Linked DNA regions of Arabidopsis thaliana. The protein of the gene in region 1 purifies or fractionates together with the protein of each later gene. This does not show direct contact. Each region holds a gene or a part of one and is shown in the gene's direction. Other genes may lie near its edges.

Region 1 (8,201 bases):
AGTCTTTTGAGTGAAGAAGCTGAAATCCTCTCCTCCCATTGTCACCGGGAAATCATGGAAGTTATTCTTTCCAATCATCGCTTCCGCTACTTTTTTACCGTGCTCGTATAAGCCCTCGTCGTTATTCATTACCGGGTGAAGCGACGGCTTTTTCTCTTCGAAGTTTACTTCTGCTTTGCATCGGTATACCGATGCTTGTGCCTCTGAAATCTGCATCATCATCAAGAAACATTTAAACAGGGTTAGGGACCTACATTATTCGAATAGTAGAACAAGATTGTATAGAAAAATGGTGTAAAAAACAATCTCTTTACCTCTTTGATCCGTCTTTGGATAAATAGAAGCCCATCGTTGCTTAAGCTTCTGAAAGTACCTCCAAATTTCGCACTCTGCGGTATTACGTTTTGAGCATGACCTCCTTCAATATATCCAACTGTAACCACCTGAGAAACATAAAAAAACCAATCTCCGCTGATTTCAGCCAAGATTCTGATTCATCAAACACCAATGCTTTGAAAGTGGAAAGCAAACTTACACCAGCTTCGAGTGGATCCAGTTCCCGCGAAACAATCTGTTGCAAGGCAACAACAGCGGAAGAAGCTGCAAGAACCGGGTCTTTAGAGAAGTGCGGTGTAGCTGCGTGGCTACCTTGACCGTGAACCGTGACTGTAAACAATCCTGCACCTGCAAGAACGGTCCCAGGCCTAGAACCAATACCACCTGATGGGATCGATGGAAAGACATGAACACTGAGTATCCCATCTAAGTCGTCTAGAATCTCGTCTTTTAGCATTTCATAAGCACCTGCATAACCTTCCTCGCCTGGTTGAAACACAAGTTTTACTGTCCCCTGTTGCAAAAAAATTGTGTTTTCGTTCAAAACCCTCATAAGATTCACCAAACTCTCATAAGACACACACACTAACAACTCTAGAAAACACACACACATAACAATTAGCAATCAAAGACATACACACACATATATCTAAGAATCTTAGAAAACACTAACCCACATCGAAATGAGTTTTAATTGCAGGGCACAGACAGAATCATTCAAAATTATACATATAAATTGAGTGAAAGAGAAAAAAGAGAGACCTTGATGAGGTGTTTTGTGGTTTGAAGAAGCTTAGCAGCACCAAGAAGCATAGCAACATGAGTATCATGACCACAAGCATGCATCTTTCCATCTACTTTACTTTTCGATTCCCATTCCACTAATTCCTTTTTTTGTCCCCATTTTTTCAAATTCATTAGTCAAACAAAGCAATCTAAAAATCAGAGTAAAAATCGGAACTTTGATTATTAGATTTCAAACCTGTAACGGAAGTGCGTCCATGTCGGCTCTAAGTCCGAAAACAGGTTTCGAACAGGATCCGATCCAAGCGACGACGCCAGTCTTCGCCACAGGATACTTATACTTCACTCCAAGCGAGTCAAGCTCGTCTCGAACGAGTTGACTCGTTTTGAACTCCTGAAACCCTGTCTCTGGGTTCTCATGAATCTTTCTCCTAATTCCTCTCATCCACTCGAAGAACTCAGGATCCTTGGCTGAATGAAGCATCCCGCGAGCGAGTGACTCGAGACCCGAACCAGAATCGTAGCTCCCAGCTGAAGACAGAGGAGGGAGAAAGAAGAAGGTAACGAAGATGACAAAGAAGCTCCCTGAGAAATCCATTCTGATTTCTTTTGTTTGTCGATGTAAACTGGCAAGTGTCAATGAAAGAAAGGACAACGGTGAATACGATGATGATGAAGGAGAAGGAGTTGGATCACCGATCCATTTTTAATATTTATATAGTACGTAATTTACACACGTTTTTGGAAACTCTTTTAATCGTTTTTAAATACGTATACGCCTCTAATGTGAAATTCATAATTTATGGTTGTAATGTGAAGAAAATAATGAAATACCAAAGATAAAATATGAAAATGATACAATGTAGTATATTTACGGTATAAAAGGAATATTTACTTGAAATGAATTAGTACGTTTAATACACGATTTTACCATTTATGTTAATGAAAATTAACACTTTTAAAATAAAACATGGCATGAATTAGAGTTGTGAGAATCACATGTAGGCCTTTAAGGTTCTTAAATTTTTAATTCCTTATAACATAGGCCCATGTATTTGATTGACATATAGGCCATTGGGTTCTTCGACTTTTAAATTACTTATAACAAAGGCCCACCTATTTGAAGCGCATTGTTAAACATTTTGTTTATATTTTGATTATGATCGAAAATTCTCTAGAACAATTCGTACAAAAGAAGCTGTTTACGAAAGTAGCTGTACATGCGAACATAATCAATAAAAATGTAAATGACTAATGAAACATCAGAATATCCGTACAAAATTGTGACTTTATATTATTTAGTTATAGGTACAAAGTTGTGGAGAGTAAAAAAATAAAAAAGGTAAAAAGTTGTGGAATAGACCTATGAAACAATCACAAACATACAACCAAAATGCAAATTGTAATTACGCAACAGAGGCTTTCTTTTCAAGGAAGTCAAGTGTAAGATTTGCAAATGCCCCAATTATTATTTGAGAGAAAAAGGGATATTGCTAATCACAATTAACGGTCACATTACAATTCCCTTTTTTCTCTGTTATTTCCTCTTCTTTCACAATTAAGTTCTTAACGGTCACATAAATATTTTGTTTTTTATATAATGAGTTTAATTAAGTTGAAGAATCAACTGATAAGGTTGATGATCCGATCCTCAAAAGTATACTAACCACAACACTGTCTACGTTCATGTTAGTACCTACTTCAAAGTCCATGTACGTTGGGACTGGCTGTATCTTCCGCCGAGAGCAGCAGAGAGCGTCATCGCTGTCTTGGAACGAGAGAAAGGTCGAGACTATCTCTAAGGCAACCAAAAGCTTAGCTATGATGAAGACATCTTTCTCTCTCTCTTTGCCTATGAATGGAGAATACAACAAATAATATAAAGTGATGGACATTTCTATGCTTTGCTTCTCTTCTCCAAAGAGAAATAGATGAAAAAGATTGTTGATTTTCGTTTCTCTCGAAGAAGAAGAAAGAAGAAGAAGGTGAATAGAGACTTTTGATTTCTCAAGAATGAACAAGTAGATTGTAGAGTGTTAGTGTTTAGTTCTGTTCTTAGGTTGCAGAGATTGTGTATGTGTGGCGTTTGATGTCTCGTGTTGGAGAGGTGGTCTCGTTTAGAGTGTTAGTGTTTAGTTCTGTTCTTCTGTTGATCTGTGTTTTTTTTAAATGTAAATTACACAAGTATGCAAAACAAATCTCTTCTCAGAAAGGGGCTACTGTTATATCATGAGATTTATAAGACAAAATGTAAAATATCGGAAAAATAAAACAACATAATTTTGGTGTTGAATGAGTTTTTCTTGTCCACACAACGGCAGAAGCAGTAGACGATTGTTCCTTTGTCTCTTGATCACAAACCGATTTCAAAGTGTTCTTCGCATTTTTCTCATCAATGTAAGTGAACCAGCCAGAGAAAGACAAGTATGCACCAATATCATTCCGGCCCCATATTCAGAATAAATTAGAACATCTTTTTCCTTCCGTGTTATGCACTTGTTCTAAAAAAAAAGAATTCCGGCCCATATTCAGAATAAGGAGTCCAGTCCAATAGTCTCAAGTCCAAACCCGACTCGGGTCTGTCCGACCCGGAAAAGAGAACTGATTACAGAATGCGGGTTTTGTCAAGAGAAAGTTGGATGATAAAATTGAGGTGAAATCTAATCTTCAAATGATCATTGGTTAGCTTTTTGTATAACGGATTTTCTGAAATCCTCTTATTTCCCATATCGGACCGTGATTATTGGGTGATTTCGGATGCCTAATTGGGTAATTAATATAATACAGTATAAGATTAGATGCCTCGAATATTCGCTCTGTGCCTAACCACAAAAACCGTAACTTTTGGTTTTCTCTGAAACACATCCCAAAGTAAAGAAAGCATCACTCTTTTCGTCTTCTCTCGAAAATGGCGGACAATGGTAAAGTCACGATCAATCTCTGCAAACCTTATTTGATTTCCCTGTTTCCTCATTTTCTTTCGGGCGACATTGATTTGACGCAGATTCTCTAGATCAGTTTTTGGCTGCCGCCATTGATGCCGCTAAAAAAGCTGGACAGGTCTATCTTTCGATCTCCTTGAGTTTTGATCGATATTTTGGCTAATCGTTATTTAATCTGGCTCCTTTTGGTTTGCGTTCTGCAGATCATTCGTAAAGGGTTTTACGAGACTAAACATGTTGAACACAAAGGCCAGGTTTTTGTTTCTTTCCTCCGCTCAGATAATGTTTCAATCACTCAATAAGTGGGAATGGCTACTTAAGAGTGTCAATTTTTTTTTTGAAATTATCTTCTATGGCTCCTTAAATTGTTGCTTTTAGGTGGATTTGGTGACAGAGACTGATAAAGGATGTGAAGAACTTGTGTTTAATCATCTCAAGCAGCTCTTTCCCAATCACAAGGTGGTGATTATTTCTTCTTTTGAATTCCCATTTTGTTGGCTTCTTCCTCGCGTTGATCATTAGAGTTTTGCTATAATTTATTAGTTCATAGGAGAAGAAACTACAGCTGCATTTGGTGTGACAGAACTAACTGACGAACCAACTTGGATTGTTGATCCTCTTGATGGAACAACCAATTTCGTTCACGGGTATTATCATTATTGATCAATTCCCATTTGAATGACCTGTGTGTTTCATTTGCCCATTTCATCAAAAACAAAAACAAATGCTGTTTTTTTTTTGTAGGTTCCCTTTCGTGTGTGTTTCCATTGGACTTACGATTGGAAAAGTCCCTGTTGTTGGAGTTGTTTATAATCCTATTATGGAAGAGGTAAAAGATTGTGTATTCCATTGTTTCAAGTTTCTTCGATCGTTACAACTTACCATTATACATAGTTTCCTTGATGGTGCTCTGTACATGCATGTTTCAAGATTTTTCTCAATTCTTACATAATATCTAATGATCAAACAGCTATTCACCGGTGTCCAAGGGAAAGGAGCATTCTTGAATGGAAAGCGAATCAAAGGTTAGCACTTGTTCTAGAGACCTAATAAAAAATTTCTTGATCTCTTTTTATGGCATCCGGAGTATAGCTATCACTTGTTCAGAGACTTGAGTTCTCTTCCTTCTTTTCAACTCAAACAATGTTCTTTTTGCAGTGTCAGCTCAAAGCGAACTTTTAACCGCTTTGCTCGTGACAGAGGTAAAAATCTGGCTCCTTTGTGTTAGACTACTAAAACTAGATTGCTATGAAGCCTCCTCTCATCGCTAATGTGACCAATTGAATATAGGCGGGTACTAAACGAGATAAAGCTACATTAGACGATACAACCAACAGAATCAACAGTTTGCTAACCAAGGTAAAAGTTTATCGATAGATATTTGGAACTCCACCAATTTGGTTCTAGTCTCTGCCAAAACTCATGATTGTTGTGTCCTTCATTCATCAGGTCAGGTCCCTTAGGATGAGTGGTTCGTGTGCACTGGACCTCTGTGGCGTTGCGTGTGGAAGGGTTGATATCTTCTACGAGCTCGGTTTCGGTGGTCCATGGTAAATTGTCTTCTTTTTTTTTTCCTTGCTTGGATTAAAAAAGGGGATTTCTTTCTTGTACAAACAAAATTAGATCCTGATGATGGCATAATAATATCAAATCTTTCACAGGGACATTGCAGCAGGAATTGTTATCGTGAAAGAAGCTGGTGGACTCATCTTTGATCCGTAAGAGTTTGAGATTAAACCAAACACACTCACTCTCAAACCGTCCAACTGATTATAACTAACTGTTTTATGTCGTCTTTGTTCATCAGATCCGGTAAAGATTTGGACATAACATCGCAGAGGATCGCGGCTTCAAACGCTTCTCTCAAGGAGTTATTCGCTGAGGCGTTGCGGCTTACAGGGGCATGAAGTCATCTGTTATTATTTTACAATATGGTCTCAACCTTATATGATCAAACTCAATTCAAAAACTTAACATTATTGAATATTTCTTTTCGGTAGAAAGAAAACAAACTCAATTGTTGAGAAAAAAAAAAAACTATTTTCTTTCTGCTACCCTTTGTGAATTCAATTAAAAAAAAATCATATGTTTGGTATTGAATGATATAATTCTGTTCTTCCATGTAGTTGATCTTTGTAATCGAGTTTGCATTTTTTTTTTTTTTATAAAAGGTGGAGTTTAAGGTATTTTGTGATCCATACTAAATTAACAACAGAGGAAAATGGGGATAATGAGTCCGGCCCAGTTACGACTAACGACCCAGAAGCATCCCGAAAGTCTCAAGTCTAATCCCGAGTTGGATCGACCCGACCCGTAAAAGAGAAGAGATTGCGGAGAAGAACGGAGGGAGGAATTTTGATTCTCACGGTGACTGTTGTCCTCCTCTAAGGACTTAGGGTTTGATTTGAATAGAACAAATTTCTCAGATCTTCGTATTCCTTGCGAGGTTGTGATAATTTGGGAGTTGCGTGGGTTGCTACGAAGGAGAGTGATGGATGCTCAAGCGAAGAAGAAGGCCATGTTCCGGTCTAAACTCAACGCCAAGAAGAAAGACACCCGCATAGATTCTCCTCTCGTTAGGTAAACCGTTGTTAGCTTCTTCTTCTCTTCGTTTCGATGTCACTTCTGGGTTTCTACAATTCCAAATATTTGTGGGTTCTGGGGATTGGGCTTGAGCTGTAGTTGGGATGAAGAGTTTGTTCTTTGGATTTGTAGGTACAACGAATCAGACCAGCCTGTGTGTCGAGTTTGCAATGTCGTCTTGAAATCTGAATCACTCTGGGATGTACATCAAGCTTCTCGTAAGCACCACGAGGTAAACTTAGTGTCTTCTGCTCCATAAGCTTTACTTCACAATCTCTTATAACCTGAGTAACAACAATGGGATATTTGATAAATTACATACATTGAAGATAGGTAGATTTCATGCTCTTATATGATTTTATGCGTTAGATTCTCTGTTTTATGTTCTTTAATCTTATTAACTTAGCTTTCGTAATGTAACGTTTGGACAGGCCATTGATAGTCTCAAGGCTAGTGCAGCGGGAGTCCAACGGGGTAGCAAACCTGCTGAAACTCGGCCAACGAAAATTGAAGCTTTGGCTAAATCATCCAATTCTCAGACATCATCTGGTCTTCCGCCAAATTTCTTCGAAAATCGTGAGCCTGCTAGAGGTAATGACTAATGCACTTTCCTCTTCTTGTTCTTATCTTTTTCGAATAATTTTCTTAGTAGAAGGCTTTTGGTTTAGGTGCTAGTTATGTGGATGCCATGCTTAAAGGCTCTAGTCTTAGGTTTTTTGAAAGATTGATGATAGTTTCATTCGTCAATCGAAAAAAAAAACTTATTGATCAAATATATGTGCAGCAGAAGTAGAACCAGCAAAATCCAAGAATTTAGAGCAATCAAAGCACACTATAGGATCTGAAACAAATAAGTCAAAGGGACCTCTTCCAGCCGGATTCTTTGATAATCAGAAAACTGATTCTTCAAATACCAAAACCACCAGTGAACCTAAACAGAGTCAGACACAGACCACTGGTCCAGAAACAAAACCAATGGTGAATGGAAACCTTCCAACCGGTTTTTTTGATAATAAAGAAGCTGACCTGCTTGCCCATGGAATCAAGCTCGTCAAACCAGATATCAAGTGAGTTTCTTCTCTTTTTTTTTTTGTTGCTTTTACTTTTCCAGATGCAGAAAATCAAAGTGAAACCTCATTGTTGTGGACCTTGTGATCCAGTTACTTTCCTACATTCTCAATTTGAATGGTTCATATGATCTTATGGGTTTGTACCTAAGAATTCTCTTCGTGAACTTATATAAACATGGATCTTCTTACAGGGATGAATATAAAGAATTTGAGAAGTTGATACAAGATGATTTGCAGGTAGTGGATAGCCGCATGGAAGAAGAAGAGGTCAGATAACTTTCTGTCACTATGATAAATTGCTGACAGTATCATAAGCTCTTTCTTAAACTTAAAATCGCTTTTCTCGCACTCTAATTGTCAGGTTGATGCTGCGGAAACTATAGAAGAGGAGGAACAACGAGAGCAAAGGTAATTTGATTCATTACTTTGTTATAGCAAGAAGATGGAAATGTTGAGACTTGTTTAAGATTAAGTAAACACTTGGCTTCTCCTTTTAATCTTATTCTGCAGATCATACAAAGAGAAA
Region 2 (8,031 bases), on another chromosome or scaffold:
CACTCGGTCTGATCGAAACACAACACATTTCAGCTACCTTTCAATTAGCTGACGTGTTTACAAAGTCACTTCCACGCCGAGCATTTGTTGATCTCAGGAGCAAACTTGGTGTGTCTGGTTCACCCACTCCAAGTTTGAGGGGGAGTGTGAGCAACAAACAAGTAACCGGCCCAACAACAACAAAAGGCCCATCTCAGCCCAGTCAAATAGAAGAAGACAAAATAGACTCCAGCTCAAAACAGAGCAACGATCGTACAGAGGAGGGGCGTTTTGCCTGATGACTCACCATAGCCAGCTACACAGCATCTGCCATATTCTAGACTGTTCCATATCTAGCTCCTTCTACAATGTCTATAAAAGAGTAGTGTAAAACCCTAATGTAATTATTGAGAAAGAAACGATTTTTTTACCAAAAGCTTGAAACTTTCTCTAATCGTTTCAGCAATGAGTGAATAATGAGATTATTATAAAAGAGATACAACTTGAGTAAATGAGTAAAATGATTATGAGTCCAAAAGAAAATGGAAAAAAGAGAAGGAAAGAATAAGCTTGGCACTTGAAGAAAATTTATGTCATTTAATTGCTCTGTTTGATTCTCAGATTCTTTATTCACATTAAGACCAACAAGTTGTGGATATATGCTTTCCCTCTCGTTGGCCGTTGAAGCATTTTTATTAACTTTGTCCCTCCAACGAAAGAAAAGTCAGGATTTTGTGTAAATTACTTATTTTTCCTTCTTCTGTCACAATCTTACTTTGAATTTTTGACATGAGAAAATAAATACTCTACATAAAGCTCATTTCGAGAGATATGGTTTTGTTATTTCTCTACTGTAAAAAAGGCAAATCAAGAAATGTCTTCACAAAAGAGTTCGCATCATAAGGCAGACTCCAAAATGGAACAAGATGTGAGTTTCTTTTCTTTGCTATTGAAGATAATTTGCAACATCTTTTTAAATGAAATCACCAAACTTTGATTAAAAATGTTTTATCTTGCTTTTGTATTTTCCTTGTTAAATTCTGCAGAACAATAGAAAAGCATGGATTTCACAACCGAGTGGTCTTAACTTTGTTTGGGGAGGTGACTCGAGATATTGGGTTATCCCTAAAGAACCAAGGTATCATCCGATTCATTCCGACTTAACCGATAAACCCAACTTTGGTTTACTGATACCAAAAATCTTAAACTGATTCATTTGATTGTTGGTTTTAGGATGCCTGCTGAGCTGAAGATGGTGAGTTGGTTAGAAGTAACCGGTTCATTCGACAAGATTGAACCCGGGAAAACATATCGAATCGGTTTTAAAATCTCGTTTAAACCGGATGCGACCGGTTGGGACAAAGCCCCTGTTTTCATGTCTGCTAAAATCGGGAAGAAAGGCAAGACAGTGTGGAAAAGAATCAAATCCGTTAGCCAGAACTTTGGTATACTGAAAGGTGGATCAGAACCCGTCAATATACCTGACGAGTCCGATGGCCTGTTTGAAATCTTGGTTAGTCCCACAGCGCTTAACCAAGATACTAAGCTTCAGTTTGGTCTGTATGAGGTGTGGACTGGACGATGGAAGACAGGTCTGTTGATCCACGAAGCCTTTGTTCAAGAAGTGTAAGGGGGAATATGATCATTATTGATTTTCATAATCCGAACGCAAATCTTATACCTCGTTTCAGTTCAAATATAAGAGCTTTAGATCATAACAATGTAATCTTATATACCTTTCTTGAACAAGTCTTAAAGCTCTGTATGATAATCTTCCGGTTTGAACCATAACGAGAAATCGATTCCTTTCGACTTCAAATTCTCAGTTGCGGGTGCAATTCTTTCCAGAAGCTACACCGATTAAACAAAAAATATGTGAGACCTGATCTCTAAGCACAACAGATTAAAAGCATTGATAAAAGTATGAACAGTTCATGAAACCTTGGGGTGAAGAACGCCGTTGGAGACCAAAACAGACCTATCAAACACAGAAAACTTCCCTCCGTCCATCCGAGTCACAGCTCCTCCAGCTTCCTCAACTATCTGTGTCCATTTTCTGACATGGATTAAGCTCTACAACTTAAGTACTTTAGTAAGAAAAAAACAACAAGAAGGATGAAGAAGACTACAAGAACACCAGCAGCCATGTCCCATGGCTTTAAACGGTACTCCCAATATGATTCCGCAATCCCAAGTGCAACATGACACATGTCAACTGCAGCAGCACCGAGTCTTCGCACTCCCCGACTCACATCAGTAAACTCTTTGAACAGTTCCATGTTAGTGCTCCATGCATCATCATGTTCATAACCAAACCCTGTGATAAGAAGTGCTCTCTCCACCTTCATTCAAACCCGAATAAATATCTAATAAACCAAAACCATTGAACACACCATGTCGAAACTTAAAATTGGATTCTTGATAAGTTACTTACAGCATCGGTCTTACTGACATGAATTTTTTGCCCGTTACACAATGCTCCACCACCTAAGAAGTGAACTAGTTAGACAAAATTTAGATATATAGCCAAACATAAGCTTGTCACATAGTACCTGCAGTTGCAGAAAAGGTTCGAGTGTTCCAGCACATCGGACCACCGACAAACTCTACCTGCATGATGAGATTTTGTTGTTAATCCTACTGACCAAAGAATCAGCAAATAGGAACTAACAAGCATTAGCTGGTTTGTGCAAGTATATATTGGATTTACCACAGAAGCAGCGGCGGGATTTCCACGATACAGAACACCGACGGAAACAGCAAAACTGGGATATCCATGAGCAAAATTTGTAGTTCCATCTATGCATAAAGGAATTAAGAGACTAATACTAAAAATCTCAGAGATTCCACACAAACACATGAAAAGAAAGCAATGAGATTTGTAAAGAGAGCTAAACCTAGAGGATCAATGCACCAGAGGTAATCAGAAGACGAATCGCCGATGATACCTCCTTCTTCACCAAGAATAAGATGATCACTAAAATTCTTCTTCACTACTTCCAAAATAGCAGCCTCGCTTGCTTTATCAGTACTGCAAATTCATCAAAAGTACTAAAACTTTAATAGCTTCAACCAATCAAGTCAACATGAACATAGTTAAAACCTCAAGCTAACAATTTTAAAAGGTGAAGAAGTCCTTACTCAGTTACTAAGTCACTGAGACCTTTATAAGTAATATTCCTTGGCTTATTTACAGCTTCCATAACCACCTAACAAACCAGATGATTCAATTCAAGTTAGTTTTGTTATTATTCTCCTTGTGCAGTTGTGCCCTACGAACCCAAGAACTTGATTCTAGTACCATTGAACACAATTTCAAGTCTCATCAAGAGTTTTTGTTTCCAATAAACATAAATTCAGATATTGTATTCTACAGACATGAAATTTCGAACCTCAGCGCCGGTTTTAGCGGCGAGTTCAACGACTTCAAGGAGGTGTGCCGGAGATATAGTTCCGGTGGTTTTAGCGCCGATTCTGGGATATCGCGTCTGATCAGAAACCTCAGACAGAACAGCTTTGGTTTGAAGTCTCGTTGTGGACTTGAAGCTATTAGACAAAATCCTCGTACACCGATATCGGAAAGTTCTGTTCACTGTCCGGCCTGAAATTGGGTTTTGCAGCGGAAGAGATGATCTGGGTAAGTGAGAGATTCTCAATGACATGTTTCCAGAGAATATTAGAGACCTTCCCATTGTTGGTGTCGCCGGAGAATTTTCGAATTTTTGTTGTTGTTCGGTTTTTGGTTTATATGAACGCGGCCAAGTGAACGGATGGTGGACATGAGAGAGTCCAAAAAGCTGATAGAACTTAAAATTGAAATTAATGAGAACATTGAACCAAAATCAGGTTAACAAATAACCAGAGATAACCGGTCTCTGTAGTATACTCAAATGGTTAGTTTTTGCCGATGGTGGTGCCCTAAACTCGAAAAAAAGATGGCGGCGTTTTTGCAAACTAACATCCGTCTGGAGATCATACCGGGAAGATACAGTTCTCTCACCGATCATAAGTTTCGTGCGCCGTATCGAATTAGGTGCGCCGCCGCTTCACCGGTGAAAAAACGGTATAACATCACTCTGCTTCCCGGCGATGGTATCGGTCCAGAAGTTATATCTGTTGCTAAGAATGTGCTTCAGAAAGCTGGATTTCTCCAAGGACTAGAGTTTGATTTCCAGGAGATGCCTTTCGGCGGAGCAGCTTTGGATTTGGTCGGAGTTCCATTGCCGGAGGAAACTTCCACTGCTGCTAAACAGTCTGATGCCATTCTTCTTGGAGCTATCGGAGGGTATGTGTAATGCGTGTGTGTGTTGTTTCTTCAGCAAATTTATTCTCTTTATGATGATTTTTTGTTCAGGTACAAATGGGACAAGAATGAGAAACATCTGAGACCTGAGATGGGTCTGCTTAACATTCGAAGAGATCTCAATGTCTTTGCTAATTTGAGACCTGCTACAGTTTTACCACAGGTATTGATTTGCTTATCACTTTGCTTTCTAGTTGTAAATATACTCAAATTTTTCTGTTTTTGCTTGTTCAGCTAGTTGATGCTTCCACACTGAAGAAAGAAGTAGCACAAGGTGTTGATATGATGATTGTAAGGGAGCTCACTGGAGGTATTTACTTTGGAGAGCCAAGAGGCATTACGATCAACGAAAATGGCGAAGAAGTCGGTTTTAATACAGAGATCTACGCTGCTCACGAGGTACTACTTACTCTTCACAATCTGCTGCTCTGTGACAATGTATGTGTATTAATGCATTGCTTTATCTTCTTCAGATTGACAGAATTGCTCGTGTTGCATTCGAGACTGCTAGGAAAAGGCGTGGCAAGCTGTGTTCTGTTGACAAAGCCAATGTCTTGGATGTATGTTTTGAATTGTTTTTCCACTCCACTCTTGTGTGTTTTTCGTTATACAATTATTTTTTTGTTTTGTTTCGTATAGGCATCAATATTGTGGAGGAAAAGAGTAACAGCTTTAGCCTCTGAATATCCAGATGTTGAACTATCACATATGTATGTCGATAATGCTGCGATGCAGCTTGTCCGTGACCCGAAACAGGTGATCTTCGCGCATATATAAAGCTTAGCCGTTGATTAAGCTAACACAGAAGTGGAACTTGTAGTACTCACGGCATTTTTAAAAACATTATTGCAGTTTGACACAATCGTCACCAATAACATTTTTGGTGATATATTGTCTGATGAAGCTTCAATGATCACTGGTAGCATTGGGATGCTTCCATCTGCAAGTCTTGGTGAATCGGTAAGTAAGACTAAATCTAATATTTCAAGGTTCCTCTGTTTATTATTATCATATATTGATTGTTAAACTTGTGATGAAAACTAGGGACCTGGACTCTTTGAACCTATACATGGTTCAGCACCAGATATAGCTGGACAAGACAAGGCAAACCCATTGGCCACCATTCTCAGTGCGGCGATGCTTCTCAAGTATGGACTTGGAGAAGAAAAGGCTGCAAAGATGATTGAAGACGCGGTCGTGGATGCTCTGAACAAAGGTTTCAGAACCGGAGACATCTACTCCCCCGGAAATGTATGTGTATGATGATTTCTGTCTTTTGTTTTGTATAAGTTAATGACAATATACTTAAAGAAGTCTTTTTGTGTTTTGAAAATGCAGAAACTGGTGGGATGCAAGGAAATGGGTGAGGAGGTTCTCAAATCAGTGGACTCCAAAGTTCCTGTTTAAGAAAAGTGTGTAGCCCTTGGTTTTACTGTTACTTTTTTGCTAATACATGTATTAGAAACTGTATTCTTGTAGCTTTTATAATAATAAAATATTTGGGATCGATTCTGCAATTCAAAGACAAAATTCTCCAAGAACATTTGACAAGTCTCCTGCCTCAGTACCTTGTTCTTGAAGATTGAGAAGTTCTCGCCAACTACAAAACTCAACATCTTCTTCAATCAATATTTGTTAAACGAATAAAGTTTCAAGAGAGACAAGAAACTATGTTTTTTAGCCGCTAGAGTATTACATTTTTCTACTGAAAAACCAAACTTATAAAACATAACATTTATAAATCCGAAAACAACTATCAATCATCAGGTTAGCCTTTGGATTCACGACGACTTATCAGATTTGCGTTCAGCGTCTGCGGCAGACTGCATTTGAGCTGCATATGGTAAGTTCCAGAGAACATCTTTAAAGGAAGTCTTGCAGAAGGTTCAAGCAAAACACATTTATTGGCGATTGAGATGGCAATTGGGTAAAGACTCCTGCGAGCTTGTTGTTAGGACCGTTGGACTTCCTATTTTCTGTCGACAGTCTTGGCTCCCAAATGACGTCTGCAAATACAACATTGCAGCAACAGCTATTAACAATGATGAAGATTTGCTTCTTTTCTTTACCCTATATGATACCATTTCGTTGAGAAGATAGGCCTCTCCTTTTTGTAGTAGGTACTGGTCCTATCAGAGATTCCAGAAGTATGAATCCAAAGTTGTACACATCGCCCTCTGTTTTAGCCATTTTCCTGCATAATTCCAAAGCTAAGAAACGTGATGAATCGAAATCGTCTGTGGCTTCCTTTAACTCTTCAAAAGAAAATGACCGGAATGAGGGCACACCTTGTGCACCTAGCTTTGCTGCTTGAGAGATTAACCCTGCAAGACGAAGTCGTACAAGGATATTAAATTCCTGAAAGACAATTGCCACCAGGCGGAGGTCTACAATTTGAGTCAAAGTTACTCACTTGCACTAGCAAGAACTTCGGAGGAGAGACTGGTGTGTGAGTTATCTCTGTCACAACCTTAAGCCGAGTTTGAGGCACTGACCTTTCTCTTGAACAACAGCAAGAGCAGCGGTTTATACACACAAGAACAAATACATCTCCACCAAGGACAGCAACCAAAATCCCAATCTTTCTTCCTTGGAACTGTTTTCCCTCAGTTTCAGCCTCTTCGATTACGAATTCTTGATGCTGATCATGACTGCCAATAATGGAAAAGAAACGGGGAGGGGTCCCAATTAATCTGTTATTCGACAAATCCAAGTTTGCCTCCACAGGTCAGATTATGCTGTAGCTTCCCACTGAGCTTGTTAGATGCAAAGTCTAAGTAACTAATGTTTGGCAAAGAGAACAAGAACCGAGATGAAGTTCCAGTCAGATGATTGAACGTCAAGTCAAGATGCTGAAGCTGAGACAAACAACCAAAACTTCTGGTAGTAACCAATAGACCTGAGGCTGTTGATTGATCACACTCGAAACCTCATTGAATCTAACATCTTACACAAAAACAGAAACAGCCTTATTTCTGAATCCAACAACAGCTGCCAAAACTTGAAAGTAGCTAACAAAAGGAAATGATTCCACCACAATGGCTCCTGCTTCAGTTCAGAGCAGCTTATAGAAATCTGAATAACGGATTCTTGATTACACAATTCATTATACCAAAACCATATAAAGGATTACTACAGATTCAACAAAAATTCACAACCTTCCTTAAATCATTCTTCTGCCATTTGATGATGAACATATTCAAATTCCCAGAAATATCCATCCTTACTATCTCCAACAGATGCAGAAAAAAGAATCAGAATTTTAAAACCCTAATTTTACCAATTACGTAGCTCACAAGATCCAAAATAACCTTTCGCCGACAACAACAACAAAACCACCGTATCTAACGCTGCTCAAACTCTCGCTGATGGCGAGAGAGACAGAGAGAAAGTGAAAGCTGAGCGTATTCGCACTGTTTACGCTTAAGGCTTGTTCCGCCGCTAGAGCAAAGAGACCTCACCGCCTCTGATTCCTCCGGACAAGCCTCCGCCACCACGCACTCCGCAAACGCCTTGTTCAAATGTCTGCAACCGGATCTCCTTGCCGGTCCTTCCGGCATCCGACGGTGGCACTGCAACAACGCTTCCTCCAACCGATCGCAAGATTTCATCGGAATCTCTCTGATTTTTCCGGTGTGAATCCGTCTCATCTCACGATGTAACTCACTAGTTGGGTTTGGGCTTTTGTTTTGTAAGCCCATATTTATCTCTTTGTTAATAGAGTCAAACCCACTTTTTTAACACACATT

The links. The genes of interacting proteins can lie anywhere in the genome.
Region 2: the proteins of VTC4 (region 1) and IMD3 fractionate together in Arabidopsis thaliana (co-fractionation; one large-scale study listed by BioGRID). This does not show direct contact.

Annotation. Positions count from the first base shown.
Region 1 is NC_003074.8:625,470-633,670, reverse strand, and holds VTC4 (Inositol monophosphatase family protein), read left to right. Parts: upstream 1-3,745; 5' UTR 3,746-3,988; coding exon 3,989-4,001; intron 4,002-4,084; coding exon 4,085-4,140; intron 4,141-4,225; coding exon 4,226-4,276; intron 4,277-4,400; coding exon 4,401-4,481; intron 4,482-4,565; coding exon 4,566-4,669; intron 4,670-4,766; coding exon 4,767-4,851; intron 4,852-4,992; coding exon 4,993-5,047; intron 5,048-5,180; coding exon 5,181-5,224; intron 5,225-5,312; coding exon 5,313-5,381; intron 5,382-5,471; coding exon 5,472-5,572; intron 5,573-5,683; coding exon 5,684-5,740; intron 5,741-5,829; coding exon 5,830-5,929; 3' UTR 5,930-6,159; downstream 6,160-8,201. Other genes in the region: ILR1 (Peptidase M20/M25/M40 family protein), read right to left, coding at 1-210, 315-443, 536-850, 1,099-1,224, 1,319-1,678; AT3G02860 (zinc ion binding protein), read left to right, coding at 6,514-6,602, 6,738-6,837, 7,037-7,196, 7,390-7,672, 7,867-7,942, 8,037-8,083, 8,186-8,201.
Region 2 is NC_003070.9:11,140,501-11,148,531, reverse strand, and holds IMD3 (isopropylmalate dehydrogenase 3), read left to right. Parts: upstream 1-3,814; 5' UTR 3,815-3,869; coding exon 3,870-4,264; intron 4,265-4,333; coding exon 4,334-4,445; intron 4,446-4,516; coding exon 4,517-4,681; intron 4,682-4,755; coding exon 4,756-4,842; intron 4,843-4,921; coding exon 4,922-5,038; intron 5,039-5,134; coding exon 5,135-5,242; intron 5,243-5,326; coding exon 5,327-5,533; intron 5,534-5,620; coding exon 5,621-5,689; 3' UTR 5,690-6,071; downstream 6,072-8,031. Other genes in the region: PP2-A9 (phloem protein 2-A9), read left to right, coding at 1,214-1,609; IMPL1 (myo-inositol monophosphatase like 1), read right to left, coding at 1,732-1,830, 1,921-2,022, 2,109-2,321, 2,414-2,466, 2,532-2,589, 2,690-2,778, 2,877-3,010, 3,121-3,188 and 1 more; AT1G31175 (cytochrome C oxidase biogenesis Cmc1-like protein), read right to left, coding at 7,627-7,983.